Arabidopsis thaliana: one gene and its partners. The protein of the gene in region 1 interacts with the protein of each later gene in a pairwise test. Each region holds a gene or a part of one and is shown on either strand. Other genes may lie near its edges.

Region 1 (7,762 bases):
TCTTGGGTATGCCAATCGCCGCTGGACTGAAGACGATTCCCGTTTGATCGTTCCATCAAAATTGGCTCGAAACCACTCTTTAAAGATCTCTATATTAGACCAGTTACTTCAAAGTTTAGAACGGACAAGTCTTCTAACAAAGTTTTTGCATTATGCAATGACTCTGTTTTTTATTCTTGACTTTTATTTTTCAGTTTGATTAGTGCTATTAAGGACAAATATCTGATTTCCTCCATTTTTGTAAAACTCTCTGTATCTTTGAAATGACACTTCTCTTTTCTTTCTTTTTCTCATTTTTGGAATCTAAATTTGGTCTCTATTGAATGACAAATGCAAAAATACAGAAAAAGGACATTGAAAAAACAGAGGAAGCAAAAGGTTAAAATAAGAAAAATGATTATTTGGGTACAAAATTGTTATCTAGCCAGACTGTAATTTGATATACTTAGAAAATCTCTCAATGAAGTCATGGCTTTTAGTGGGAGCCTCTTCTCCTGACATCATATCTCATCAGTCAAAACTGATTCCATATAACAATTCCAAAGCCTGTCAATCTCAAAACTGTAATAAATAAGAAAGACTCTTCTTTAAGAAAAGAAAAAAACATTTTTAAATGTTATCAATTTAGGATCTCTATGAAGTAAAACCATTTTTTAGATTGAAAAAATGAGTATACTATAGTCATTTGTCCCTTGTAGGCGTATAGGTAAATTATAATTTCTATGTGAACATTAGACCGGTAAAATATTCTATAACTAATTGTTTAAGTTTGTGATCGTGTGAATAAATGTTCATAAATAAAGGACTAATTAATATCTAGAATGAAAATAGAATTTACATAAAGATTAGTTATTTTTGTGATATTTCAATCTCACTAGTCATTAGTTTATCCATCTCCTAACCAAAGTGAGAGTTGTAACTAAATTGTGTTACCCGTGAATCTCACATATGTCTACACAAAACCCAACAGAAACAAAATGGTTTAACTCAATGATAATAAGCAAAAAAAAAAAATAACAATTGGGACATACTAATATTCATTGAAAGATAGGCAACAGAAAATTCAGAAGCATTAACTAGTTCTTGGTGAAGTAAAGCTTGACCCTTTATGCTTCTTGATTTGTTGAATAATCTCTTAGAGCAACAAAACATTGGCCTTAAACCACACACACATTATCTTTAATTATATTCTGTCAGTACTTTATGCTTCTTAATTTGTAAGAATGCATTTTGTTTGTAATAAGTCTTTTAATTCGTTGCTAATCATTTTGGAATTAAAGCTTTAATTAATGGAACCAAAACTTTGGATCCCAAGTTGTATTGTATGAGACAGTTGTTTCTCACTTAAACAAGTCGTTGGGTTGTTGTTTCTTCAGTCTATTACACATATGTTTTTTTTTTTTTTTCTCAACTGCATTTCATTGAAAATATTAACAATAATCCTATAAACACACACAAAAAAAACAATCTACCTCTATATGTACGAGTACGATGCACTTTTGACTTGCGCGTAGAATAGTACGTTAACTTAAAAACATCACATGCAAATTTCTGTATAAATTGGGGTTTCATCTTTAGATCCAATCATTGATCCAAAGTACTTCCACAGTTCCACTACAAGTTGTTGGTTTCTATAATGCTAAAGAAAACTTATTGGAGCAAAATATATATCCGTTTTAGTTTATCGTGATCGACTGATTGTCAATTCGTAAAAGTAGTTATCTATCAAAGATAAGTAACGATGATTTTTCCTAAACAAGAAAATTTTCTTTTTATTTGATTAATTTTTTTCCAAGATATTATATATTGAGATTTGAGAACATGAAAAGATCACGAAGGACTTTGTGGAATGGACATAACATGTTGAGTAGCATACAGATGGATTCACTTTGGAGATGACCAAAAGTGTCAATAAAGATAAGAAAATAAATATATTTATCAAATATAAAATAATTTTACCTTACCTTAAAAAGAGTTTTTTCATTTATTATTTGCTATGAATGAGCCCTTTTGAAAGTTAAAGAGGTTAAAAAAATGGACTTTGATGCCAAAAAAAAAAAAAAATCTATGACAAAATTTTGTAATATCAAATGAAAAAGAAATTGCAACATAACAAATAAAAAAATAAGACAATAAAAAAATAAAAGAGGATGTGAAACCAAATCACTGGCACTGCAACTATTGGCCTAAAACTATTCACCCTTTCTGTTTTTCTTATTTATTTACATTCACTCCTCATATTTCCTAGATTCTCTCAGAGAAGCCCCTAATGTTTTAATAGTCACATTTCATCCCCAAGAAATCCAAAGACCTTCATACGAAGAACCTATATGAGTTACTTCATAAAAATTGAAATAACCGATGTATTCAGACCATTTTTTCTCTATAATCAAATGATTGAATATAAAACCAAATCAATATGTTGCCAAAAAAGAAACCAAATCAATATAAGCCAAAACTTGAAGAAGAAAGAAACTCTCTCTTCATAGCCTACGCATTCTCTTGGCTGGTGGAGAACTTTGATCAGAATCATCAAAAGACAATCGGCGTTTAGCGCCACTTCCTGAAGCCGGCGGTTCGCGAGAAACCGCTATTTCCGGTGGAGGTGTCATATGTTTCCTCTCCTCAATCTCTAGCGTTCTCTGATAACACAAATATACATTTTCCTACAAAACCCAACACTCCTAAGATTATGATCATCAACATCAAACAATCAAAATCGAATAAAAAGACACCAAGATTTATACATTCTCATTAGAAGTCCACCAAGAGATCGAACCAAACTTGTTAGCTATCTCTTCTCTAGTCAATCTAATATCCGATGAGGTAGAAGAAGAAGCTAGCAATGTAGTAACAGCAGCAACAACAAACTGTCGATACTCCGTAAAACTTATCTCTACATGGAAACAAAAATGTGATATCAATAAATGCTTTGATCTTGAGAAAAAAATGTGTTTCTTAATAGAGTTACCTTTAGTTAAAGCAAGAAGAGAATCAGAGGATCTTAACAACACCAAGTCTTTAGAAACAGAATGGTTGTCCTGAGAGATTTTAGCAAGGAAGTAGTTGAAGTAATGAAAAGGAGTGATCAAGTTCATCTTCCAGTCCAATGTGGATAGAATCAACAGTTCAGTTTTACGAATGACATCGGGTTTGAAAACGAAGTCATGATCTTGAGGGTATTGTGATAAACCAGGAACAATACGTTCCTCCATTTTAGCAGCTAATGATAAACAAGCTACTGATAACAATCGCATCGCCCATGTTTCATCTTTCTGCAACTACAAAGAAACCATCTTTAAGCTTTAATCTGAAGATAAAGGTGAGATTTTTATAGATAAATGAAACTGGAGATTGAAACTTACACCGATGAATCTTTTGTGGAGAAACAGATCGAAGTATGAGATTGCAATGTAAGCTGTTTGATGTTGGAACCCAAATCTTGTTCTTGTCTGAGATTAAGACAAAGAACCAATCAATCAGAGATTAAGACAAAGATCAAAAAAGGGAAAATCTTTTTGAGATTACGGACAGTGAGAATCCAATCGATGGCAATCAATCTATCGGAAGACGACGTCGTTTTAGAGGGTAGGGTTTCGAATCGGAGATTCTCTTTAAGAACAAGGTCTGCCACATAATCTTCATCATCGATCGTAGTAGTAAAGTGAGGTTCTTGCTTATCAGATCTCTCAATCGTCTCGTCGTCGTCTTCGTTTAGAGAAGACTCCGATTCGTGGCAGAGGAAGAGAGCGAGACTGTCTTTAGGCTCACCCATTTAACGGCGGCGATGATGATGAAGACGACGGCGGCGGCGGAGATAGAAGTGTTCTTCTTCTTCTGCTTCTGCTTCGGTGGTGTGTCCGTACACATCAAAAGGGGAATTATAAAGAATTTGTGAGAAGAGTGTTTTTTTTTTAATTTATGAGATGAGAGGCAAAGTTATCGCAGTGAATATAGGGGAAGAATAAGAAGGGAAGCTAAATCATCGTATTTGATTTTTCTTCCATTACTCGATTTGGGATTTTAGGAGCAAGTGACGAAAAAACAAAGAAAAAAGAGAGAGAGAGTGGAGAGAGAGAGAGAGTCTCCCGCGTCTGGTGCCGCCAAAAATAAGTGGGGGAGAGAGAGGGGGCGTTATTTAGCGGTTACATTTAAATTAAAAATCTTTATTATTTGATTAATTTTAGGTTTTATTTGTTCACTAATATTTGAGTATATGTATAATATCATCACTCTTTTTTTTTGGGTCGACAAATAATCACATTTTTTAAAGGAATGATTACTCTTTTATTTTTTTAATATCCAGCAGGATTACTTGTGTTTGAAGACTTTTTGATGCTAGTCAATTATGGGTTTTTTTTAATTTAACAAAATTGTTTTTATCTAATAGTATTGTATTTTCTTGAAAAAGATTTCTGCTATTTCCATTAAACTGTTTTGTATTTTGTTGATTATTTAAGTTTAAGCAAATTTATTTTAAAAAAACTTTTTTAATTTCGGAGTTGTCTATGATAATGTGAACTTTATTGATAAATTAAATGTTATTAATAGAAATAAATACTTAATGCAGGAATGGAGAGCGTTTAGAACTATTGTGGCTGTCTTAAATATATGAGATTTACACGTTTTAAGAACGTCCATATATAAATGTCATTGTTTTTACCTGTTGAACTTCCTTGATTACACTCTAGATTTCTTACATGAACAAAGTTCACGGATTCTGTTAAGAATGTTATCATCAAACTTTTTCTTCTATTTATTTGTTGTTTTGTACAAATGGAATTTTCTTTCGGTCTCTGAGATAAGATTTATAGGATCCTTTGAATTTGTATCAATCATTTAGTTAGGAAAGAATAATGATCCCATTGAAATTTATGTGCAGAAAGTTAAATCCCATTCCAAATACAACGTTCTTATTAACATTTCTCATTAGTGTATTCCACGTACCACCCCCTTTGTTGCTTTTGTAGTAACTTCTATTTTAAGAGGTTTGAATTAAAATGTACTTTATTCAAAATAGAATTGTGAACAGAAAACAGAGGAATAGCTAGTTTAGTTATTTCCCACTTATTGACTTCAATTAAATTCAGACCTAGAAATTCATTTTCAATGGAAGAAAATAAAGATCAAAAGAGCAATTTTGCAATAAGTTTTTTTTAGGAATTGGTGGGGGAAACACCATACCATTCCCACTAAAAAAAATCCTCTCAACTTTTTAATTTAGTTCCATATCATTATTTTTGCTAAGTCATATACAAATTTTCCTATAGTTCTATTGCAATTATTATTCAATTTTTCTTCTCCGTAAATCTTTTTGTTTCCTCACTTTTTATAGTTATATTCACGGTAACGAGTAATTAGGCCTACGAGTAATGACTTCCATGTTAGGTGAGAAAGTTGTATATGACTCATGTAGTAGATGTTACGAGACACGAAGATTGTGTATGAAAATTTATACAGTACGTAGATAAGAAGAGTAGATATACGTAAGCAAATTCACATAGATTGTAGGTAGAAATATAGACAAATACTGAATGAGTATATTTATTGTAAAAATAGGTAGGTCTCGTTAGCGGGTTCCAAAACCTTATCATGTGTTAAATTTTGATGTATACAAGAAAAATTGAAAGCAGAATCCGATGTATCGTAAACCATCCGAATTATAACTGATTATCCAATTGGATGAAAGTGGAATTATACTATACAATATGTAATATGTTAAGAAAAAAAAAGAACAACAATTTACTAATTTGTACTATAATTAGTCTTGAACAAACTTAAAATCAAATAAATATTTATTTATCCATCAGCAAATGAGGCTCCCATCTTTATATGTTTCTGGTCCCTTTTTTGACAAATTTTTTAAAAAATAAAAAGACTTGTATATATAGGCGCATGGCTTTGGAGCCGAGTCATTCAATATATAGGATAATTAATTTTTCTATTATAGTATTAATATTTATAAGACTAGATGTAAGAAAAGGGTATAAAACCAAGAAGACGCAAGATCCAAAATCTGCAACTTTTATGTGTATGTTAGTGAAGTATCAGCAGCATTTGTTCGATCTCCCCCCTAGATACAAGTAATATTCTCACATTACGTATTTTACAGATTATTTTTGTATTTCCTTTTTTTAACTTCTGACTTGTATTATTGTGCATTTCTATGTATATATATACAATGATTACATTATGTTACAAATTTTTTTCTGAGATGTTTGTATGTAGTCAAGATGAGGGACCAATTTCACAATAACTTGAAAAATGCATTTCATCATTTTAGAATTTAGATGATGTGATCTGCAATTGCCAAGATTGACCGAAATTAGTAACGATGATGATGAATTTGCAGGATATTTTTTTATCACTTCAAAACAAGTTTTGGGTCGTTAGGCTAACTCGCTTGGTGAATATCTATGTCTAATTTGTTTTTTTTGGTGAAACAAAATTATTTTTGTTTTCTCGTGCTTTTCTTTCTATGATTGTCTTCCCTTGTTGATAAGGAATCAAAGTCTTTTGTGGTCTATTTCACGCATTTAATAAAATTACTATTATGTGGAAAATAAAATGTAATATTGGTAACTAAATATGACATTACATATAGCAAATGAGACGAAAATAAATGCTCCTATTTGAACATAGTGAACTCTTAAGAGTTAAGAAGGGTTAACAGTCAGACATATAAAAAAAAAAAAGAGTTAGTAACCAAATATAATTTGATCACATTTTTAATGAACTAACAAATCTAGGATACCTAACACACGTTACACACAATATTTTCCAATCTACTTATGATTCCTTTCGAGGTGTGTATTAGTCTATTCATCCTCTAGCAAAAACAAAGAAACTCGGTCCCTCTGTTTCCACAAGAAGGTCTCTATGGACAAAAAAGACATAACACTATCAAATATCAATTGTGTATGATGTTGAATAATACATGAAAGAAATATGATATAATATATAAAAAAAAATTGATGGTGGAATGATGGCGCACGTGACAATAACTACAGTGGAGGAGCGTCGGTCACGTGCGAAAGGCTGGATTGCCTCAGAAACGAAGAAGAAGAAGACGCTCCACCTCTGCCTAACTAGTAACAATCCAAAAAACTATATGATATAAATATAAATTATGATATCATGTCACTACTAGATAAGTTTCCTATAAGAGTAAAAAAGGTTTAAAATAAATAATTACAGTGACGATATAGTCTGTGCCATGTGTTGAATTTCTTTGGGGCTTGGTGCCCATCTAAGTGGAACCTTTGACTGTGTGAAAGTTTTTTACGATTCCAAGACAGTCAAACTTTGACCAAATATTTCTATTTACGTGTGTCCGATTTATAACTTTGGTTACAGCTTGGATTTTGGATAAGTAAATTTTTTTCTTTTTTCGATTTACGTTTTGGTGTATAAAAGACTAACAAGTGTTAGGTGGGAAGCATCATGGTTTTAGCAAGAGAATATAAAACTCTATGAATAATTGAATATAACATATTAACTTTCACATACTCATAAAATTATATAATTGACAAAATGTAATACAAAATGGTTCGTTGAAGGAATAGAGTACAACAAAATGATCAGCCACCTAACTCTTACGATTCATATCCGTTGTGTTAGTTGTGTACTGTTTGCAATTTACATAACCATTAATGTTATCGACAATATATTCATGCTTGATTCACTATATATATGATGAGTAGTAATAGTAAAAAAAAGTACATGTACATATCACAGCTTATCCGAATTATTAAAAGAAGTC
Region 2 (8,790 bases), on another chromosome or scaffold:
TTAAACAATTTTTACAAGAAAGAAAAAAAAGACAGCCTCGTATAGGATGTATATAAAAAAATGATGTAAAAATGGTTAGAAATCCAAATAAATGTAAATATCCATGAATTAAATCAATCTTATTTTTTAAAAGGTAAAAAACTATTTTATATGAGCAGCTATCAGAAAAATGGGTCAGATATCATTCTTAGAACCAAAACGGAAAGTCCCAACGATCCCATTTTACTCCTTTTCACCACCTCTAGTAGCAGAGAGAGAGAGAGAGTATGGCGATTACGGTGCCGAGACGGCAACTCTTCATCGGCGGTCAATGGACTGAGCCCGTTCTCCGTAAAACTCTCCCTGTTGTCAATCCCGCCACCGAAGACATCATCGGTACTTTTTATTTTTTCCAATCATATCTTGTGTTACTCACTTTTTGAACTTGATCACTCGATTTTCGCGAGTTTCGATTCAATCTATCGTTATCGGAACTACGCATTTCCCGATTTGCTGTATACTTAGTTCGCGAATTGAAAGAGCTTTGAACTTTTGTCTGTTTGAGACGATCGTCATTTCTTCTGTGATTATTGTCTATGAACGGGAGCGGAAGTTGTTTTTGCGTTAGATCTGTGGGATTATATAGGAGGAGAATAGATAGATATGTAGTTGAATGATTGGATTGGATCTCTTCTCCTGCTGATGGAGTTCTTTGTAGTGTTTTTTAAACTGGGATTGGTGGTGGTTTTAGGTTATATTCCAGCTGCAACTTCTGAAGATGTGGAGCTTGCTGTGGAAGCTGCTAGGAAAGCATTTACTAGGAACAACGGAAAGGATTGGGCTAGAGCAACTGGTGCTGTTCGTGCCAAATACTTGCGCGCTATTGCAGCTAAGGTAACAACAATGAGTTAATCAAATCTATGTTCCTCTCATGTTTCATTCTCTGTTAGCTGTTTTGCCTGGCAATAACATAATGGAAATATCCAGGTAATAGAGAGGAAGTCTGAACTAGCTAATCTTGAGGCTATTGATTGCGGTAAACCTCTAGATGAAGCAGCATGGGACATGGTATTCTCAATTTGCTTTTGTGAACATTTGGCAGTTTTGTGATTCATATGTCACATGTGGTTGCTTGTAACCTTTGCAGGATGATGTTGCTGGATGTTTTGAATATTATGCTGACCTAGCTGAAGGCTTGGATGCAAAGCAGAAGACTCCTCTTTCTCTTCCGATGGATACTTTTAAGGGTTATATTCTCAAGGAACCCATTGGCGTAGTTGGCATGATTACTCCATGGTACTATATTTCATTGACAGATTTGAATCTAACCGATCCCTCAGATCGTTGTGTATTATCCTTTGTCAAGTTCGCGGATTTAAATTTTACATATTCAGATCACATTGGTCTTCAAGTGTTCTATCTTCCTTTTTAGACAAACCGTATGTTATTAGGCAGCTAATAATCTATATTTGCATTCAAGGAACTATCCGTTATTGATGGCTGTCTGGAAAGTCGCTCCTTCACTTGCTGCTGGGTGCACGGCTATACTGAAACCTTCAGAGTTGGCCTCCCTGTGAGTTTTTGATTTCTGTTGACATCATAGCTAGCCACTTCAACTATTAGTTCATTAACTCGCCAATCTGATGCTGTTTTATTCCAGGACATGTTTGGAGCTCGCTGATATTTGCCGCGAGGTGGGTCTACCACCTGGTGTTCTTAATATTCTGACTGGTTTAGGAACTGAAGCAGGTGCTCCACTGGCATCGCATCCACATGTTGACAAGGTCTGATCACTTGTATACCACTACCAGTGTCCTGAAAGTCAAACACTTATAGATAGAGCACTTATTTCCTTTTTATGGGTTAGTTGAAGTATTGATATTTTAGCCTTTACCAGATTGTATTCACTGGAAGCACAACAACTGGAAGCAGCATTATGACTTCCGCTGCCAAATTGGTGAAAGTAAGTCTAAGTGTCCTTGTTACTCTCCTTTGGAACTAGTAGTTATCTTGGCTTGTTTATTCGACCTATGATTTTTCGGGGTCTGTACATGAATCTTGTTTTATGTTTCATTCCACAGCCAGTTTCCTTGGAGCTTGGGGGTAAAAGCCCTATCATTGTCTTTGATGATGTCGATATTGATAAAGGTGGGTACTTTTGGAACCTTAAGAAAACTATGCTATATATTTGTATTCTAAAATGCTGGTTTAATTTGTGACTAATATTTTGCTCTAAACAGCTGTGGAATGGACTATGTTTGGTTGTTTCTGGACGAATGGGCAGATTTGTAGTGCCACATCTCGACTTCTTGTGCATGTAAGTGAGCCTATAATCTACAGTACCTCTGATTTTAAATTCTGCACCGAACTGTTCATGATATGTGTTATCCGTTAACACATATAAAACAAGTTATGTGTTATCCGTTAACACATATAAAACAAGTTATGTGTTATCCGTTAACACAATTATATGTTGTAAAATTAAAGGTTACCTTTGGAAATTAAGTTATAATTATGTAGGCTACTCTAGTCATAAAACAAGTAGAATATATAACTTATCTTTTACATGAAACCACCGATGCAAAGGTACAGAGTTTCAGTATATGTTTATCTGTAAGACTGGTCATCAGCAATTCGGATAGATTGATAAGTATCAGTTGTCGTAGGACCTTGGGAACCCTTGATAAAAGTAGGATAGCGAAGCTTTACTATACTTCTTGTGTACTGTTGTTTTCATGAAAGAATCTGGTGAAATGTCAGGAAAGGATTGCTGACGAGTTTTTGGACAAGCTGGTAAAGTGGACCAAGAACATTAAGATTTCAGATCCTTTTGAAGAAGGCTGTAGGCTTGGTCCTGTTGTCAGTAAAGGACAGGTTAAATTGCTAAACAGAATTGACATTCTCAAGAATAAACACCTCAATCCTCCAAAACCCTCTTATCTATCAATTTGGGTTAATGACGAAAGATTTCTAGTCAAGTCTTACATATTTATCCTCCTGTGCAGTACGAGAGAGTTCTAAAGTTTGTCTCAAACGCTAGGAATGAAGGTGCAACTGTTCTTTGTGGAGGAGTTCGTCCTGAGGTACATTATATTGACTAATCTTCTATGTATGTGCCAAATACTATCTAGAGCCCGTAGCACTTACAATATTTTATTTATGTTCTGCAGCATTTAAAGAAGGGATACTTTGTTGAACCTGCGATTGTTTCAAATGTGACTACTTCAATGGAAATCTGGAGAGAGGAAGTCTTTGGTCCTGCTCTGTGTGTGAAAACATTCTCCACCGAGGATGAGGCAATTCAGCTTGCAAATGACTCTCAGTGAGTGTAGATTTCTCTTCTTATCTTGAAGTAGAACTCCACTGATGACGTGTTAGATCATATGCCTGACTTTATTTGTATTTGCAGATATGGATTAGCAGGCGCAGTATTATCAAATGATCTGGAGCGGTGTGATCGTGTTAGTAAGGTGTGTATCTAACTTTTACTATCAACAATAACAATCAATAACCTCATGATTGAACTTAATCTCTAAAGTTTTATGAATCGTAATCATTGTGTGTTTCAGGCTTTCCAGGCGGGAATAGTGTGGGTCAACTGCTCTCAGCCATGCTTCTGCCAAGCTCCATGGGGTGGAACCAAACGCAGTGGATTTGGCCGTGAATTGGGAGAATGGTTAGTCTCTTTCGTTAGCTATAAGTATTAAGATTATCAAACCATTAGAAAAAGACACTCTCCAACTAGATGGAATTGTGTCCATAGTAACTTAAACCGTAATAGATTACCAACAAAATTTGAATTGAAACATATTTTCTTCGTCGCAGGGGACTTGAGAACTACTTGAGTGTGAAGCAGGTGACTCAGTATATCTCTGATGAACCATGGGGATGGTACAAACCTCCTTCCAAGCTCTGAGACAAACACTAGTTCCTGATATTTCCTTAAAACATGTACTCATGAGAATATACCAATAAAGCAAGAGACCCTTCTGTAAGAGAAATGGTATTGCTACTTTAAATTCTTGAAAAAAATGAAAAATAAGATGAGATGATATTTCTTTTTGTTTTTCTCAAAACAACATGCCATACAAAAGTAGCAAAAAACTGGCGAAAGATGAATGCTCTTATATGTAACATACAAAAGTTACAGCCTACAGTAAACTTCAGAAAGCAAAGAGGGTATGCGATCTGTGAATTAATGTCGGATTCTTGCAGTTACAATTGTGTGGAGAAACTAAACCACATTGATCAAAAGAAATGACTCTTGAAGCTCTCTACACGAATGATGATTGATGTTCACAGGTAAGAGAAGAAGAAGAAGAAGAAGAAGAAGAAGAAGAAGAAGAAGAAAAAGAAGATCTAACGGTGTTGTGATGTATTAGGTAATGGATTCTCCTGGGTGACTTCGCTGAACCATGTCTTCCAAGCATCCATGTAATGGGAAAAGAGGTCTTTCAAAACTGAAATTTGTTCAGAAACAGAGTTAATTTCATAGCAATATTTTGACAAGTTTGATATCAAATGGATGTGAATAAAATATATGCACCTTGGTTTTGGTAAGAGGGACGGTAATCAGAATCCAGATTCTCAACATCAAAAGCTCTCCTAGAGTTATCCTCTAAACCAGCAGTTGGATATGTACCAGTGCCTGGTGCAAAAGGTCCAAAATGGTAACCTCCTCTTGATCCATGTCTTGATTCATGAACATCAAAGCTTTTGTTATAAGAACTCTCTGGTGTTGAGTGCTTTTTCATCTTTAGCCTTCTCTCTGTAGCGTTTTCTTGGGACGAAGATGATGATTTGCTTCTCTTAACATTGACGTTTGTAATATCAGTTCCGAAAGCTCTTTTTCTTGACTCCAATTGCAACAAATCGCTGCTCAGTGTGAAAGTAGGCTCACCATTGTACCCTAACCACTTGAAAGCTGGTTTCCTAGAATCTAAGGTGTGAGTCTGCCACCAGAGAATACAGAAACTAGTAAGACTTAAATCACAGCTTGAAATCATAGATGGTTCACAACTGTTGTAGCTATTGATAACTTTGACTTACCTTCTCTATGAGATTCATTGACGACAAGACATTTGCTATATCATAAAGCCGCCTCACTTTAGCTGCATAAAAGTAATCAATGTGTCAACAAACACAGATCGATTTGTCTCAACCGAGGATGTTAACATAAAAGAAAAGACTTTTCAGGTCACAAGACGAAGATAATTACTTCGCATTATTGATGTATTGTGGGCATCACCAAGCAGTAATTTTGCAGCGTCATCAAGGGAGATGATCCTAATAGCCTAAACAGTTGAACACATAAAAAACAAATCTTTAGTAACTTAGTGAATAACTCTTTAGTTCAAAAAACGAATCTTTGAACTTCTCACTTACTTCAGAGCAAATAAAGAGTTTGATAAAGTTCTGAGTAAGCAATCCTAAAGATTTCTCTCGTCGGTTATCTGTCATACATAACCAACCAACAAAATGTTAGGATATCTACATTGCATCTCATAATTCATATCCCACATATAGAGTTACCAAGAGGGTAAATCACTTAACTACTTTGCAATGGCACTAAACCCGAACACAATAAGTACTACACGCACAAAATGAAACAGTACCTATTTTGGAGGGATCTGAAGATTGGGGAAGAGAACCAGGTTTTGAACTATCAGTCTGGCTACTAGAGTGAGGCTGAGAAGACTCTTCATCATCATCCTCATCATCAGATCCCTGAAAGTATGAAACTTTAAGCATTAGAAGTATGAAGACAACAAACTAAAGACACAAGTATATCAAAAGAAACCAAATCCAAATGACTTACTTTAACATTCTCATTGACATAGAAACGATGAAAAGTGTCCTTAACCCCCTCTTCCTACATCAAGAACACTTCCTATGAGAATATGCAAATCAAATCGCTACATTTCTTCACAATTGGGATTGAATGGGATTGAATCCGAATACAAAACAAATGAAAAGACTCACTTGTAGCTCCTTCAATGCTCCTGGAATTGCGGAAAACCCTTTCCACGTATACTGATTCTTTGCTCTTCTTGTTAAAACCTAAATTAGACAAAACTCGAATTAAGCAAACATAACACTTCTGGATTCTGAAAAAAAACAAAGTAGTGGAGAAACAAGTCTCACCCCAACACTCTCCAGAACATTAACAATATCATAGATTCTTCGTCTCTCCACTCCTGAAATAAACCCCAAAAACCCCAATCAACAAATTAAGATGTAAAATCAGAAATGAAAATAAAAATCACAAACACAAAGTGGGCAATACCTAATTTCGAGGCAGCATCATCAAGCCCAACCATTTCAATCCCTTCTCGATTATACAAAGCTAAGAAACTGAGTTTACGAAGAACACTAATCAGAACAAATTCAACAACAAATAAATAAAATGGGTTTAGTAAAAAGGCACTAACTTGGTACAAAGAAGTCCGAGAGATTTCTGTTTGCGACTATAGGAATGGTGTAATTGTAAAGCCGAAGAAGATTCCGGTATGGAAGAAGGAGAAGTAACGGCAAGTTTGAATCTTTCTGGCGATAGATCTGACATGGTTGACGCAAACGATGTCTGCGATTGAGAATTTGATATTGTATTTTGGAGGGATTTCCTAAAAAGAGAGAGGGGGAATTTCCCAAGATACTTGAGCGCCAATTTGAATTTTTTGGCTCCTCCTTCTCCGTAACATTTACACACTCCTCTAAATTTTGGTAAAGCTGAAACCTTTACGGTTTTGTGCTCGGTTCAGATCGCAATTTTTTGGTTTTTGTCTTTTTGTTTTTTCGGTTTAGAAAATTTCTTACAATATTTTCAGGATTCTGTTCAACTTTTTCATTTTTCTTTTCCAAAATTAGATTACATTAACCAAAATAATACATTTTCAATCAATATTATAGTAACAAGATCTATTTTGGATATCTATCTTTTTACTTGAACTCAAAAAGTAAAGTTGTAAGGGGATTTTGGTTTTGTAGGATTTAAAAGTGATTTGGTCTGAATTTGTTTTTGGTTTGGTATGGTTTGTTTGGTTTTGGAAAGATTAAATCTTTTGATTTGTAATCTTGTAAAGAGTAATGCCCTTAAAATGGTAGATTCATGATAGTGTTTAACTACTTGCATAAGCAAAATCAGGGTCTATCTTTGACTAAATTATAGTCTTACCATTAAAAATTTCTATTGACCAAAACAAAAGGTTATTTTGTCCAACTAAGATTTTTTTTTCTATAATAGTTTTGCATACCTTTGGTCTTACTCATTTGAGCTAAACCAATTAATTTAAAGTTGTTGACAAAACAAAAAAAAAAAAATTGCATTCTTATTTTATTTTTACACTTTTTCAATAATTCATTGATACCTAACAGAAATTAATACAAAGTGACAAAATTGATATGATATTAAAATTAGTTGTGTAAAGAGTTTTTGTGTGTGTGTGTATGTTAGTTTCATGGGCCTATTTTGAAACCCAAAAGTTAATCAATGGGCCCAATACACACGATCTCTCTGTAAATTTCAAAATAATTAAGATGGAGGGAGCAAATGTTTCTGAAATCTCTCTCCACGACGAAGAAGAGATTCTTCGATTCTTTTTTGAATACTTAAAGTTAAACTCTCAGTTTCTGCTTCTGCTATGGTCTCTAAAGAGTGTTGCCGAAACGAAATACGTGCGGCTATTCGACAGCTTAGCGACCGCTGTTTATACTCCGCCGCAAAGTGGTTCGTTTTCTCAAAACCCTAATCTTATTCAACCTCTCCCATTGTTGCAATCTCTAGCTCGCTACTGCTCTGGTTCGATTAAAAATCGATTTTTTCACTATCCTTTATGGGTTTTACTAATTTTTTTGTATCCTGGGCTAATTGTAAACAAATTTGGTTAAGCAGATTCGTTGATTCGAATTCACTTTTGTTGCGAATTTGGTGTTGGATACATTCCAATTCAGATGATTCGACATGTGGGTTTTGTGTTATGATATGTTTGAGCTCGACACTAATTGAAAAAATGTGTTCTTTCGATGGGAACTTCTGATCTCCGGTTCAATCTTTCGATATGTTTGAGCTCGACACTAATTTGTGAATTATGAGTTAAAGTTTCAGTTTTTAGTACTCGTATTGTAGTTCAATGGTGGTGAACTATTAGTCAGTTCCATATTTGATATCTCCTTTGCTTTCATCATTGCAGGGCAGGAGAGCAGCTTGTGGGGATAGAGCAAGACCCGTCTAATTTTACACCTGCGAATACGAGGTTTCAGCGAGGAAGCTCTAGCATCCGGAGAAGGTTCAGCACCAATGAATCTATTTCAACACCGTTACCTTCCGTTGGCTTCTCTCAAGCAGCTACTCCTCTCCCGGAAGAAGATGAAGCGATTGATGGTGACATTTACCTTTTAGCAAAGTCCTATTTTGATTGTCGAGAGTATAGACGGGCCTCCCATATGCTTCGTGACCAAGTGAGCAAGAAATCACTGTTCTTGCGTTACTATGCGCTTTATCTGGTATGTTCTGTTTCTCTATCTCCTATTTTCTATTTAGCTAGAGCTTTTATATCTTATCAGAATAGGGTGATGGAATGAACTTTTTAAAAGTTGGCTCCAAAATGCTTTTGAGTGTTCTTTTAGCCTCGGCCAGTAGGCTGCCTTCAAATAAATGCAATATATGGACGTTATTACAAACTTATAGGACTGAGCCTCTGATTCACAATTTTGTTGATGTCCAGTCACAGTTATGTTCTATGATACAAGAGATATGAGGGTATGCAACTGATATACAAAAGTAAATAAATGAGTGAAACTTAATTGGAATTG
Region 3 (8,117 bases), on another chromosome or scaffold:
CTATGTACTCGAAACACTAAGCATCAGGTTGGATATTTCCAAGTTGACTGATCCATTGTGAAGGAGTTACTAATCTCTAAGCCGTTCCTTTAGAAAATTCTTCCCAACCCTTTTCCACTCGAATTCTCATGTGTTTTTCGTAGAAAAAATTATATCCACTTTGTACCATCTGTTCCCAACAAAATTACCGTCAAATCTTTTTCAGGGTCTTCACCATTGCCATTCATGAGAGAAACTGACATGAATTAATCTAGGATGATAACTTTTTTTGGAAAAGATGGTACATAGATGACACATCTTCTACGAAAATGCACTGGAAAGAATGAGTTTGGGAGCACATAGTTTAAAGATTGGTTAATTTTCACGTTGGAGTCAATTTGGAAAAATGTAATTCCTAAGCTCAGTTTTTCTAGTACAATATCCAAAAGTGATACAAAGGCAGCACGAAGAGTATCAAAAGCTAGAGAGAAAGATTATATTTTCACTAAACCTACCAGTTTTCGAAATAAAACCAAGAAACAAAATTAACATCAATGATATGATACGCTTTCTAATAATGGTCTCCTAATGTGTTGTAAGTGGGATATATTGAAAGAATTAAAGTTCATATAAGATACATATGCTCTTGGACATATATATGATGCAGTTTAGACATAGTTTATAATTGAAAGTGAAATACAAGAAATCCTCATTAGATAGTTTATGAAATATATTGAACTTTGTAAAAATAGTAAACAAAAATAAATCTAAATTTTTATTTATTTTGTATTTGAAATAAAACCCAAAAAGAAGATCTTTTCATGAAAGAGAAAAAAAGAAGTAAAATTGGTTGTAAATTTATTTCTGAATAGAAAAAAAAAAGAAATTGTGCCACGCAAAACCTTAATGCTTGAGCTTAATAAAATGAACCTTAATGCTTGAGCTTAATAAAATGAACCTTAATGCTTGAGCTTAATAATTGGGGATTATGTGGTTAATAGTATGGACCAGGAATCTTAGTCAGCAAACACTATATGGATTTTCTAATTATCTTAAATGGAAGTAGTAATTTATTTGTTTTTGTTTTTTAACATAGGAAATTTTGAAATATTTAGGTCCAAATTCGTGGTTTCCAAATATCTACACTTCAGATATCCAAATTTGTGGTTTAATATATATGTATATCCAAACTAAATTTAATTACAAAAAAAAAGTGGAATTTTAATATTTAGTTTGCCATTAAAAGATTTTAGATACAGTATATGGATTTTTGAGAGGCATGGCACTATTATTCGGAATCATAGATCCAATCCGGAATTCTTTCCGATCCGATCCAGAAAACCGGATATCCAAGATAGGTGAATCCAGATCCAGAGAATGAATTTACGGATACGTATAATCCGAATTATAATTTGATTTTAATTTATAATGGTGGGATACATACCTTCATCTTTGTTGCCTCGTTCCAGCTTGCATTTCTCCGTAGTAACATGTTGCAGATGATTCCTTCCTAAAGGTTTTGATTGGTATTTTATATTTCGCGCGGCCCAATTGTCACATACATTTTGATTATATCCGCATAATAAATGTTGTTAGCAAACAAATGAGGATTAATATTGAAAATTGTCCCTAGATCAAAAATTTATTACTGAAATCATACCTTTCTTTGCATATACCACATAAAATGCCAATGAATCAAAATTCATCACAAGAAGCAATCATCACTAGTAGCTGATGTGTATATGTAGACGTCTCTTTAGGGTTTTTACAACAATCTCCATGGAATTTTCGATCAACATGTTTTATTAAATCATATTGATTTTTTATTATTTTATGTTTTAAGGTAAATAAGAAATTGTTTATTTTCTTCTTTGTAAACTATTGTCGGATCATATATTTATGTGATGTAGAAGCCATGTTATCGTGTACAATGCGTGTTAAAACTTAAAATTGTGAAACTTTTGTATGTAATAATGATTGATTGACTAATTGATTTTAAAAGATAGAAAATATATAAATTATGGGTCCACATGGTAATTTTATAAAGAAAAAATCCCGGATTTTTTCTATTTAATCGAGAAATATAGATAATGATATACAAAAATTGGTGATTTTTTGTGAAATGTCAGTTGACTAGAAATTTGAAACAATTCTTATCAATGTATTTTTAAAAATATCATGTTTAATATGTAAGTTTAATATTCATTAGTGTGCATAATGTAAGAATAATTACTAATTTACATAAATATTTTCTCTTATATGTGAAAGTATTTAACTACTGATTTATTGATATACAATGAAAAAGTATGGGCTATTAACTTTATATGATTTCAATAATTTTTATGATTAATATATTTGATAAAAATGATAAATAATAAATCATTATTTTAAAAGAAACATGTATATCCAACAAAAAAAGCCGTGTGTAATACGCGTTGGTTCAAAGGGTAATTTAACTATGGAAAATAGTCCTAGATTTATTTTTGTTAAATTGAGAAATAAAAATCATTATATACCAAAATTGTAAACTTAGCAATTTTTTGGTGCAATTTCCGTTGACTCGATTTTTTGGAAAAAGTCTGTCAATTTCAAAGAAAAAATATTATGTTTAAATACTTAAGTTGAATATTTATTCGTGTGCATAATAATAATTTATTTTTCGTATAAACATTTTTTATTCTATGTGAATGTATGTAACTAGTTGTTTGTTGTTACATGTTAAAAGTATGTACTATTAAGTTTATATGGTTTCAATAAAAAAAATTCAATACTTTTTATGATGAAATTATTTGATAAAATTTAAATAAATGAAAATTGTTTTTTTAACAACAAACCGATCATATTAATGAGAATTTATTTTAAAATAGAAAAGCCGTATGCAATACACGTTATATTTAATAGAAAATTCGTAGTCAAATGATGAATTTAATTAGCAGTTTAATTTTTAAGAAGTTAAAGATTTAGTCAAATGATGAATTTAAATTTATTCGACAACAAAAATTATCAATAAATCAAAAATGTAAAACTGACGATTATTCTATGAAAAGTGAAAACACAACGGAAAATACAAATAATAATGATGAGTTTGGGGTTTTATTTAAAAATAATAATAATAATAATATTGTTTTTGACAATTAGATAAAAAAGGTAAACTTTTTTTTTCTTCTCCTTTGTTTTATTTTAACCCCACAAAACTCGAAAACCTTTTTCCCATTTTCTCACTTTCCCTCTTCTTCTCCTCCCTCAAAGCTTTTCCCTCTCATTTTTCTCTTTCCGCTTTCAAGCTTCTTTTCCCTCTCTCAAAAAATGGGGAAATACATGAAGAAATCAAAGATAACTGGCGATATCAGCGTCATGGAAGTCTCTAAAGCAACAGCTCCAAGTCCAGGTGTTCGAACCAGAGCCGCTAAAACCCTAGCCTTGAAGCGGCTTAATTCCTCCGCCGCTGATTCAGCTCTACCTAACGACTCTTCTTGCTATCTTCAGCTCCGTAGCCGCCGTCTCGAGAAACCCTCTTCGCTGATTGAACCGAAACAGCCGCCGAGAGTTCACAGATCGGGAATTAAAGAGTCTGGTTCCAGGTCTCGCGTTGACTCGGTTAACTCGGTTCCTGTAGCTCAGAGCTCTAATGAAGATGAATGTTTTGACAATTTCGTGAGTGTCCAAGTTTCTTGTGGTGAAAACAGTCTCGGTTTTGAATCAAGACACAGGTTCGTTGTTTTTTTTTTTTTTTTTTTGTGCCCTAATGTTTTCTTATTACCAATTCGACTTTTGTGTTCTGTCTTATCCAATAATCTTAGTTTTGAGTCTTACATAGTTTTGAATCTTAGTTAGGTTTCTCTGAAACTTTTGTTGTTTGCTTCAAATCAATTTTTTTTTTTTTGGGGGATGAAAATAGTTTAGTACAAGAGAAAAATAGGTTTTTTATGTTTCCCTTATTGGTTTGGTTTTTGTTTATGAATTGACTCTCTTGTGATGTACTGAATTTTGTTATTACTACTTCTCCGTATAAGTCTCTTTTGGTGTTAGATTTACATTATATCTGATTTATTGCTGTATGTCCCATGTGTACTTCATTGCAGAGATTATCAATGAATGTGTCAAAGCTATTTTCGTTTTATATATGTATTTCATTATTTGTTACAAATTTGGTGAAACTCTGATCTGTTTTTGTGTATTTTAATTTGTTTAAGAACATGTTGATTCTCCTTGTTATTAGGCTAATGGCATAAGAAGTATTTGTACATTGGGTATACAATATTGGGATTTGGTTATTGGGGGTTTACTTAAACACATGGTTTTCGTTTTTACAAAAGTGGGTTGTTGTATAAAGGTCAGAAACTTTTAATATGTAAGATTATATGAGAATTGGGACTTTCCTCATAAGTGTAATGCAAGTACTGTGGTGTCATGTTCATGGGACCTAGTGGTTTTTGCATACTTGGGGAATACTTTTGTAGGATCCTCTGTTTTTTGGGGTAACCGTCCTGCTGCTAGTTGACAATGTGGTGATTGCCTTCTCTTTGTTATTTATTATCTTATGGGACCATATTACTTAGAAAGTCTCTAGCTTTTGTTGTTTACTTAAACCAAGCCTCTTTTTTATTCTGGATGTTTGGTTTTGGTTTGATTCTTGATTTGGTTAAGTGTCTTTGTGGTGATAATGTTATTGAAGTTATTTTATCTGTGTTTTTTTCTGCAGCACAAGGGAGAGCACGCCTTGTAACTTTGTTGAGGATATGGAGATCATGGTTACACCAGGGTCTAGCACGAGGTCGATGTGCAGAGCAACCAAAGAGTACACAAGGGAACAAGATAACGTGATCCCGACCACTAGTGAAATGGAGGAGTTCTTTGCATATGCAGAGCAGCAGCAACAGAGGCTATTCATGGAGAAGTAAGCTTATTCTTTATTTTATTTTTGTGTCATTACGAAGAGGGTGAACAACACTCATGTGTTTTCAATAATCTTCAGGTACAACTTCGACATTGTGAATGATATCCCCCTCAGCGGACGTTACGAATGGGTGCAAGTCAAACCATGAAGTTCAAAAGGAAACAGCTCCAAAAGACATGGTGTGAAGTTAGAGAATGTGATGGAGTTAACAGACTAACCAAACATCAGAAATCGTGTAATCTTAAGTAATAATGTGGTTAGAGAACAAGTTTGAGAGTAGCTTAGGGACCTTAAAACCTCACACCATTTGTACTACTAATCTTCTTCAGATGCTTAGTGAAATTTTCTCATCTGTTTCTTTCAAGTGTTTGTTTTTCTATCTATCTCTCATGTTTATTCAAAGCTATATGTAATGATGATGATTGAGAGGGATGTGTGTGAACATGTTTAAGCTTGGCATATAGTGAAAAAAATGATTCAGATGCAGAAGAAAGAGACCCAATTGAGAGGTTCACGTGTGAATTTTGGTAGGTGTAAAAATCTGAATCATATCCTTTTTCTTTCAACTATACAAGATTGGTCCCTTTTCTTCTCTTACCATAATTATGACGCACGTGAATGTGTGTGTAAATACTTTGACGTTTACATTGAAATACTGTAATGTAAGTTCAGAGTTAAAAGTACAAACACAAAGGTGAATTTTGTACTAATTAGTAAAGAGATAAGAGTGTTTTGAATCTTGAATATCAAATTATTATTAACAAGAAACTGACAAAAAGATGAGACAGTGTTCATTGAGAAGATCTCTGTTGTTTTATCTTTTTTTTTACATTTCTTGGAAATTGGCAAAACCAGTGTGATGAAACTGTGAAATCTTATCTCGAACCCAATCATTGTTCTATGTTTTTCTTTAATCTCTAAAAGTGAAAAAGTGAATGCATGAAACGTTCAGATACATTCATTATATTATACATTTATACATATGGACATGGTGTACGTATGTACACGGGTGCTTGTTTGATCACGGGCTCACTGACTATAAAAATCATGTTTTTTGGGACATATAGATTCGCTTACATCAACTGTGTGACCAATGGGGTATCTGAATTCAGCTTGTTCGATGTTTTGTTTGACTCTTTTAAACTATTTGGTAGTAAAAAGCCAAAAAGGAAGAGCACTGATTACGAAAGCCTTTTTGTCTTTTTGTTTCTTCTTCTCTAGCTCTCTTTCGTTCTCCTTTTGGGTTAGTCCTTCAAAATAAATGTCTTTAACTTGTCATGTATAGTTTCTTTCTCTCGTTGAACACCAACCATAGGCCTTGCAATGTGAGTCAAAACATGCATTGAAAAAAGAAGTGAATTTCAACATTAAATGCTCTCGTTTAACATGCCTATGGTTCCATTAAGCAAAGTACACACTCTATATATGTCGAAAGAACTATACAGTCGGTGTTTTAGCCCTATAGTTAGATACATTCGAACTGATTACAGAAATATCAAATATCCAGTTCTAAGATCGGATTAAGGCAAATACATTTAAACTACTTCTAGCGAATGAGGTTCACATAGAAAAACTTTTTAAAATGAATCACTAAACAAGATTCATTTTCTTTCTAAATAGTGTAAAGACGAGTGATGCATGCAACTGCTCTCCTTTCCGTTGGTCCCTTGTCAAAATATACGACCGTGAATAATTCTTCCCATCATATTTATCTGTCGGAGAGTTCCAACCTCAAAACATTCTCCTTCTCTTATCAATTCTTTCTAAAATCATAAACCAACAAACTGGGCCTATGATCAATTATTCATATTCAATTTAGCCTATAACTAAAACCACACTGCTTTCGTTACACTGGCCTTCCGACAAGTCTCTTTGACTGTTTTTATCTTAAGCGCCATCAAGTTTTAAAGAAGACAACCCCATATCTTTCCTCCCATGAATCATCGTGTCCATATTGCTATAGTTCATGAAAAAACTAAATACTATCGACAACTGAAGAAAAGATCCGGATCTTGTGGACCGAGTGAATGGTTGGGCCCAATTAGAATGGTCTACCCTAACATCTAGCCGTCTACACGATTGATCATACGTCTAAGAGGGCGAAACCACCAAACGTTTGGATTTTATCTAAATTGATGTACATAAAGCTAACATGATTTTAGTATAAACATTATAAGCATCATGGAAATCAATAAGCTAACATGATTTTAGTAGAAACATTATCAGCTAACATGAATTACTAAAAACATTTATTTTATTTTAAGGAAAAACATACAATACTAAGATTTTTTATAACATTTTTTCTTTGTAACATTATAAATTGTTTTAGTTTCTACATTAATTAAATATATAAAATAAATTCATTTAAATAATATAAGAAAACGGAATCTTTGATTAACTGCTGATTATTGGCCACTGATTAATTTCCGACCCCATCAATAGATGAGATCAGACATACACAACTTAAGTAGACCAAAAAAGCGGTTGGTGTAAGATCCCAAACTCACAGATTCCCAAATAATAGTAATACTCTTCCTCTTCTCAACTCTCACCAGTCACCAGCAGATCATCGGAGATGGGCGGAGACGGAAAAGTTTTCACCTTGTCCGAGGTTTCTCAGCACAGTAGCGCCAAGGATTGTTGGATCGTCATCGACGGCAAGGTCCTACATCTCCGATCCCAGTTTCTCATTCGATTTTCCGTTTTCCCTTAGATTTTGCATCTTATCTTCGTGAGATCCGAAATTCTTGAGTTGTGTTGACTTGGATTTATAAATCTAGAGTTATGTAGTAACAAGTTTGGGGATAGATCTGATCTGATTTGCTAGATTAATGTTACTTTTCTAAGTCTAAATCACAGAGAAATTGCTAAAAACTTACGTCTTTATAATTGAATGTGATAGTTGGTGCTGCTTAAGATGTCTCTGTGTGATCTTGTATCTGTAGTTAAAGCTAGTAAGGTTCATGTAGTTCATGTATGTTCTGATGTATGAACTTTTGATAACCCACTTAATCTAGGTCTCTGATTGTGTGGAATTAGGGACTTATATGACAAAGTTTACATTTTTTGTGTGTTTCATTTTGATGGTTATATATAGGTTTATGATGTGACAAAGTTCTTGGATGATCATCCTGGTGGTGATGAGGTTATCTTGACTTCTACAGGTAACATATAGAGATCACTTTCTCTGTTTGTTAGTTCATGTTTATGTTAACAAGAATGTGTTGTTGGTATTCAGGGA
Region 4 (7,187 bases), on another chromosome or scaffold:
TTGACACTGGTGCGGTTTGCTACAGGTGTATCCAATCATAGGGGATCGATACAGATGCAAAGACTGCAAGGAGGAAATTGGGTATGACCTTTGCAAAGACTGTTACGAGACTCCTTCGAAAGTTCCAGGGAGATTCAACCAGCAACACACTCCTGACCACAGGCTTGAGCTTGCACGGTCTCCTCAGGTTCTGATCAATTTCAATTCTATCGGTATCCTTCTCGGACCCGTTATCTCAAATGAAGGCATGGATACAGATGAAGGCGAGGAAGGGCCTCCTGGTTCTTCTAATGAGTCATCAAGCACAGAATGAAATAGCAGTCAAGTATTAATGCATATGCTTTCGCTTTGTGTTTGCGTTTGTTATTGTATTTATACTTCATAATATATTTTCTCCTGAGAAGTCTATGGTTTTAACATTTTAAACAAAGTTTATTTCTTAACAAAGTTTGTTTGCATTTGTGGTTGTTAAGTCACCTCTTTTGTTTATATTACCTTTAAAGTGTGATTTATTTTAATTCCTCTCATTAGTACACAACTATTATTGTTAGTGTAAAGAATCCATTTAACAAAAAAAAAGATAGAAGAAATTATCCATTTGAGACAAGATAATTGAATACAATAGTTACTAAAAGGTTAACTAGCCAAATTATTTGTTTGAATGATTAAAACTTTTTTTTGCACAAAAAAAAGATGATTAAAATCTTTTTTAAGAATATATAAAATTATGTATAAATTAAATTCTTAGATCATTTAAATACCCATATTATTCAATATTCATACTGAATCCGTTATCCGTATCATTCATTTTTTTTTTAAAAAGTACAGTTATAATAATAATTGTAATATCTTAAATTACACTTATTCGATTCTTTCAGTTATTATCCGGTATTTATCTGAAAAAGAATAAGTTTAGTCATGTAAATGTAAAAAAGAGTGAACTTTTGAAACAATTGAGGCATGTGAAAGCTTTTCAATATACATATTGGCTTGAACTTGAAGGATTGCTAATAGATAGTAACTGGATTCAAGGGACCCCATCAAGGTGAAAGATTCGCTCCTCTGAGTGCGTGTGAGGCAGCTACGATGTGATTGGTCGGAGTGTGGAACCCATGACTGCTCTTACGTCGGAAATCGTTTCTCGGGTTCTGTCTTTTTTAAAACACTTTATTATTGTATTAAAAAGAAAATAAAGGAAAAAGTTTTTTCAGTACGAGCGTGTTGTGATAACAGTTTTTTTTTTTTTTTTGGCGCCCTGAAAAAAAGGGCGGGAGGACGTGAAGAGTGTTATTGCAGATCCTTTATTTGTTTTTTGTTTTTTTTGCCTTTATCTCTGATTTTTGGGGATTCGGTAGCGTTCGAGATCTGAGCTGTTGCATGATTGCTGAGAGTCATCGCACGTGTGCCTTCCTTCTTTGTACGGTGAAAATAGTTTTTACCATATTTAAACCGGTTATAAAGTTTTGTTCAGGTTTAAAGTATTATGGGCTAGTAGTGTGATCTTTCGTGTTTGGATGAACTGATGAACAAAGAAATATCTAAAGATTGTACACAGTGTTGGTCATGCATACGATTTGAAGCATATAAAATCATGATTCATGAGAATGTCCCTTTGACATCTTCGATAAAATCATGAGAATTATGAATTATCGCAAGCTTTAAATTTAGAGATTTTTAATGTAATTCATCTTCTTCAATAATAATAAACCTCTCGATTAAGAATAATAAGCACCGGGGCATTGACATTGGGAGCCTCTACTCAGTACTCACCTTGTTGTTGTTTCACGGGTTACATATATATTAATATAAGAAGGCCTTTTAACAAAAATAAATAAATATAAGTCTGATTTAATGTATAAATGTATATCACGTAACAGTAGATTAATTAGTCGCCGCATCACGATTCTTGTTTCAAAGAAACAAAAAAGAATAAGACTGTGTTTGCTACACAAAAGAAATGTAGAAAACCAAATTGAGTCATATATTTACATTTCAGATACTATAAAGTATAAACTAAATTTTATGTAAAGGAAAATTAATTTTTCTATTTAGACGTGAGTATAAGCATGTAGTCAGACCAACTTTATTTGTTCGACAAATTTACCAACAAGTCAACTTTTGAAGCCTAATTTATGAAAGATAATCTCAACTATTACATCACAAAGAGAACGGTTGTTGAGATGATTACATAACTATAAAACTAGAAGCAACCAATATAAATGTCCAATGCTAATAAATCCAAAGAAAATAAATACTTAGGTAAGTGATCAACCCTATGATGTTAATTTTAAGACACTTGTTTACTTAAAAAAAAAAAATTTACAGTCAAATGTATCTGTATACAATTAATGTGTACGTTTTTGTCAAATGTGAAGAATTTAATAGATGGTTGACTCTTTTTTTCTTTTGAACCAATAACCTGCATGACATTTGAAAATCTGAATGCTAGCTTTTGTTTTGGATTGTTTGTACAAAGTTAACGTTGACTTGTCTACCAAATTTTATGAAACAATGAAAATGGATGCAAAAAATGAACTGCCTTATTATCTTAAACCAAAACAAATTTGACACATACAACGATCTTTGCATTATTTAACAAAAATAACTAAAAATTTCCACACGATATCAATTGCTTTATAATCATGGATGGTCTACCAAAGCAATTAATATAAGCTTGATGATCTTTATTCTCAAAGACCTTGTTACTTTCGGCAGCCTTTTATTATTTGTTGCACCAACCACTCATAAACTTTAAATACTATATATATAGTGTATAGAATAATTGGAATATATATTTCCAAAAATGTTCTTCATTTGAGAACTATTATTTTATGTTATTTTGGAGTAACTAAGAATTAATTATATAATATAAGTGAAATATAGAGTCGGAAATATGTCGTTTACTACATGAATTATCAAAAAGTTGTTATTTAATACGTAAATTTTATATATAAACATTTAATATATGTAAAAATTATTGACCGGTTATTTTACACAAACTTAATTGTTTATCAGCCAAAATTTATACCAACGTAAAAAAATTAGATAACATTAACTTAGTGTAAAATAACTTTTTTCTATATATTAAATGATTATATTCAAAGTTTACGTATTAAATGAATATTTTTTAAAAATTTGCGTATTAAACTATATTTTTCTCAAGCAAACTCAAATTAATACTTTAAATATCTCATATATTGTTCATAATTTACTTTTGTAAAGTAGACTTTTAAGTTTTAATCAGATAGAATACAAAAATTAAATTAAATTCCAATTAATTAAATTTTGATTTATCTTTTTTCGAAGAAAATGATGACAATCAGGTGAGAGGGCCTTTGACACCTTAAAAATTTGTCTAATTTGTTTTTTGATTCGATTTTAAAATAAATATTTCCATTGTCCTTTTAGTTTTCACTTTTTCAGATTAAAAATCACTTTTTTCCTCCTCCTTCGTTGCTTCCCTCCTTTCGCTCTCGACCGGAGATTCAGTAAACCACCTTCCCGGAGATGGGAAAATACATTAAGAAGTCAAAAGTCGCCGGTGCCGTTTCCGTTAAGGATAAATCTCACCCACCCGCTCTAGGTTTCCGTACCAGAGCCGCCGCCGCTAAAAACCTCGCCCTCCACCGTCTCCGTTCTCATTCCGACGAAGCAGACTCCTTTAACTACCTCCAGCTCCGGAGCCGCCGTCTCGTGAAGCTTCCATTACTCACTAATACCAGAAAACAGCAGAAGCAACAGCTCATTCCTAGTGTCAATCAATGTCAAACGAAAAACCCTAGGGCTAGTTCCGGTCCGGCGAAGAAATTAGAGCCGGATACGACGACGGAAGAAGCTTGTGGTGATAATGAGAGAATATCTAGGTCTGATTGTAATTTTGGAGATAAAGGTTTTGATTTGGAATCAGAAAACAGGTAACTTTAACTCTGTTTTTTTTTTCATTTTAAAGCTCCAAACTTTTTTTTTTTACTACAATACAGAGATTGAGTTTTGATATGTTGGTTCTCTCATAGGAGCATGATAAGTGATTCAAAATCAATACAAAGTGAGATTGAAGACTTCTTTGCTAGCGCAGAACAGCAACAACAGAGATTCTTCATTCAAAAGTACAAATCCCATTTTCTTTAGTGTCTTGATTCTCTTGAGTTTTTAGAGTTTGGTCTGACTTTGGGGGAGTTATGGTTTTGCAGGTACAACTTTGACATTGTCTCGGACAATCCATTGCCTGGACGTTACGAATGGGTCAAAGTGATGCCATGAAATGAGTTGTGTTCGATGTAAAGTTGTGTGCTTTAGGAAACATCTGTGTTGGAACAGAGGAGATGAAAATTGCACACAGACTAACTTTGTGGGGTTTTAGGGTTGGTGTATAACTTGTTAGTCAAGAATAATGTAATGTTAATCTCTCTCATTTGCTACAAATAAATGTCTAATTTAACTGTCAAGTTACTTAAATTAGTATTGTAAATCTCTTCATTGTTCTTTGGTTACTTCAGTGAAGGTCTGAGTTTTGTGGTTCTGCATTAGAGTTACTTTACAAGTCATATACTTTGGATTCAAGTAGCAAAAGTAGTGAACTTGTCTGAACAAAAACCTTAGTCACAGGTTTTATCTCTATCTTCTTTATTGATAGTTTGATACTCTAATCTCATTGGGCTTTTCACACATGTGGGTACTTGTACCAATTCCTCTGTCATACAGGTTGCAGTAAAATGCTTCGATTAGATTTCATCTCTCTCTTCTTTATTGGCACTGCACTCACTGTCTTGCTTTCTGGAATTATTTCTTCAAAAGTCTAAGTTAGTAGCACCTTTCATGCTAAAGATTAGGTTTCTTGGTTTCTGTAAAATATTTCACCTCTTTAGATCATTTGCTCATCGGATGAATCAAAACATTAAATAATGATGTCTATTCTTATTAGTACAAAGCGTTTAAGACCACTGTGTTATGTCTGATACTAGTACTAAATTCACATGATCATTTACATCTCTGAAGAATCAAAACCTTCTTGGTTTTGTCACCTTTTAACACATGAACAATATTTACTGATCAAGCCCTGCTTCTCCGATGGTTCAGCGTTTTTGTTTGGTTAATTTGTGAGCAAAACTGCAAAAGCAAGTCATAGGATGCTTAGAGTGATTTCATTCTCGTTGATAATAGTTGTATTAAGTAAATACGTAGTCTGTAATATTACAGTACCTGTCATGTTCCATCCCAACTCTACCACCGAAGCTTCACGGAGTTGCAGGTCCTGTACTCAACCTTTGCTTTGTTTCTGACATTTCAACTTCATATACACCCTTGCTTTCAGAAGTTTTACTGTCTTCCATGGCCATCCTCCTGATTTGAGCCTGTTGGATTGCTAGCACCTCATATCTGCAAATAATTTCCATGAACTACCAATGGTTAAACTCATATTTCTCGTGATCTTTATTCATCACTTTGTTACAAGCTAAAAACCCATCTCACTATCTCTATATGAAAGTGGAATCATACACAGAACAACAGAGTAAGGTGCATTTAACACCTACTAAGGGCATTACACCTGGAGTTATGGAACCATCTCAAACGAAATTTTTTGGCATAAGAAAGTACTTACTTTGCCACAATCTTCCTCACAAGCTGGAAATATATCCTCCAAAACTGATGTTCCTTTAAAACTCGCGGGCATAACTTGAATCTCAACTGTGAGAGTTCCTGTAACACGAAATCAATCTTGTTTAGAGCAGCTTTGAAAATAGATTCGTTTAAACCCAATGGTCCTATCAACCAAATTCAATTTTACCAACTGTGTAACAAAATCATCTTGAACTGCAAACACGAGCATGTTTACCATTTTCACTAACATGAGCCTAACCAGATTACAAGCAATTCAGGAAGATAGTAGCATCAAATGAACTATAAGATTCGGCACATAAACTCTGATCCGATTCTGATTCAAGTGATACCAGTGGACCAAGAGCTCTACCACTACCAGTTCCATCCATTTAGAAATCTTGCTTAGTCCTAAAGAGTAACTTTCAAATTTCCCTATAAGATTCGATCCATTGCTCCTAATTGACCAAACCCAAAGCTACAAGCAAATCAAGAAGACAGCAACTTTCTATAGGCGCTATAAGAATCATCAACTCTTATTTGAATCTAATTTAAATAGCACCGTTAGCTCCAAAATCCAATCATTGATCATTTGAAATCTCTACAGACAACAGCTACAAATTCCATTCATTTCAACACAAGTTCAATCATCAAAAGAAGCAAAATTTAGGAAATCAAGAAGACAACAGCTATGTAATAGGCTATATAAGAATCATCAGCCCACACACTCAGATATGAATCTAACTTTAAAATAGCACCATTGGCTCCAAAAGCTAAACTTTGATCATTTGTAATCTCTACAGCTACCAATTCCATTCATTTCAAAACAAAAGTCAATCACAAAAAGATTCAAAATTCAAGACCAAAAACCTTCGATTTCGATAACACGAGAACCGCGTGTTTCTCCTGCCAATCAGACAAATCCTTCTTCACATTTGCAGATGAACTCATTCCATTATCTTCATCTCCCAAAGGATTCACAGATACTTCTTCTTCTTCATCTGTTTTAGAAATTACAACCCAAACTACTAAAATCAACTTCATAAATCACAAAACTAAAAAAATCCTAACTAAATTGGGATCCAATTTTCGTAATTACCTTCCAGAGAGAAGTTCTTAAACGTATCAATGGTGAAGGATCTGACATGATCGATTAACTCATCAGTAACTCCCAAAATCTCATCTTTACCTTCTTCCTTAACACTCGATCCATTCTTCAAGCTATTCCCATCTGAAGATTCCTTCTTCTCTCTTAAAAAACTTCGTCGAATCCTCGAAGCTATATTCATTGCTGATCCTGTGAAGAAGAAGAAGAATCTGAAAATCTCCAATGCCTTAGAAAGTAGAAAAAATGGGCCTGGGCATGGCCTGTTACTGGGCTACTGGGCCTTATTATAATAACAAAAGGCCCAATAAATTAGGGTTTAGAGAACTCTTAACCCTAATGTCGCATCATATATAAAGTCGCCATTGAAGTGAAGCTGAGATCTTTTCGAAGAGCGGAAGCTAAGGAGAGGCGAATTCGAATCGAGAAGATGGTGTCTGGGTCAGGGATATGTTCAAAGCGTGTCGTTGTTGACGCACGTCACCAT

What was found.
Region 2: the proteins of CYCD5;1 (region 1) and DEL1 interact in a two-hybrid assay, tested with the Arabidopsis thaliana proteins (one large-scale study listed by BioGRID).
Region 3: the proteins of CYCD5;1 (region 1) and ICK6 interact in a two-hybrid assay, tested with the Arabidopsis thaliana proteins (one large-scale study listed by BioGRID).
Region 4: the proteins of CYCD5;1 (region 1) and ICK3 interact in a protein complementation assay, tested with the Arabidopsis thaliana proteins (one large-scale study listed by BioGRID).

What each region holds. Positions count from the first base shown.
Region 1 is NC_003075.7:17,675,510-17,683,271, reverse strand, and holds CYCD5;1 (cyclin d5;1), read right to left. Parts: upstream 4,105-7,762; 5' UTR 3,776-4,104; coding exon 3,533-3,775; intron 3,453-3,532; coding exon 3,366-3,452; intron 3,282-3,365; coding exon 2,972-3,281; intron 2,897-2,971; coding exon 2,748-2,896; coding exon of another isoform or gene 2,742-2,747; exon of another isoform or gene 2,667-2,741; coding exon 2,484-2,666; 3' UTR 2,008-2,483; downstream 1-2,007. Other genes in the region: ACA2 (calcium ATPase 2), read left to right, coding at 1-47.
Region 2 is NC_003074.8:17,781,395-17,790,184, reverse strand, and holds DEL1 (DP-E2F-like 1), read right to left. Parts: upstream 6,855-8,790; 5' UTR 6,545-6,854; coding exon 6,411-6,544; intron 6,334-6,410; coding exon 6,266-6,333; intron 6,177-6,265; coding exon 6,124-6,176; intron 6,040-6,123; coding exon 5,962-6,039; intron 5,852-5,961; coding exon 5,798-5,851; intron 5,707-5,797; coding exon 5,595-5,706; intron 5,433-5,594; coding exon 5,365-5,432; intron 5,274-5,364; coding exon 5,198-5,273; intron 5,091-5,197; coding exon 5,029-5,090; intron 4,932-5,028; coding exon 4,526-4,931; coding exon of another isoform or gene 4,497-4,525; exon of another isoform or gene 4,463-4,496; intron 4,440-4,462; coding exon 4,339-4,439; 3' UTR 4,025-4,338; downstream 1-4,024. Other genes in the region: ALDH10A9 (aldehyde dehydrogenase 10A9), read left to right, coding at 267-375, 731-873, 967-1,047, 1,127-1,275, 1,460-1,552, 1,640-1,763, 1,877-1,942, 2,061-2,127 and 7 more; APC8 (anaphase-promoting complex subunit 8), read left to right, coding at 7,620-7,705, 8,169-8,481. UniProt on the Arabidopsis thaliana protein: Inhibitor of E2F-dependent activation of gene expression. Binds specifically the E2 recognition site without interacting with DP proteins and prevents transcription activation by E2F/DP heterodimers.
Region 3 is NC_003076.8:19,789,515-19,797,631, reverse strand, and holds ICK6 (inhibitor/interactor with cyclin-dependent kinase), read left to right. Parts: upstream 1-3,223; 5' UTR 3,224-3,285; coding exon 3,286-3,716; intron 3,717-3,898; coding exon 3,899-3,925; intron 3,926-4,681; coding exon 4,682-4,876; intron 4,877-4,954; coding exon 4,955-5,024; 3' UTR 5,025-5,362; downstream 5,363-8,117. Other genes in the region: CB5-D (cytochrome B5), read left to right, coding at 7,452-7,538, 7,974-8,040, 8,115-8,117. UniProt on the Arabidopsis thaliana protein: Binds and inhibits CYCD2-1/CDKA-1 complex kinase activity. May target specifically CDKA-1.
Region 4 is NC_003074.8:9,057,483-9,064,669, forward strand, and holds ICK3 (Cyclin-dependent kinase inhibitor family protein), read left to right. Parts: upstream 1-3,353; 5' UTR 3,354-3,507; coding exon 3,508-3,914; intron 3,915-4,013; coding exon 4,014-4,106; intron 4,107-4,190; coding exon 4,191-4,260; 3' UTR 4,261-4,521; downstream 4,522-7,187. Other genes in the region: PRT1 (proteolysis 1), read left to right, coding at 26-313; AT3G24820 (BSD domain-containing protein), read right to left, coding at 5,235-5,376, 5,600-5,697, 6,466-6,596, 6,695-6,884; AT3G24830 (Ribosomal protein L13 family protein), read left to right, coding at 7,131-7,187. UniProt on the Arabidopsis thaliana protein: Inhibits CYCD2-1/CDKA-1 complex kinase activity without interaction with the complex.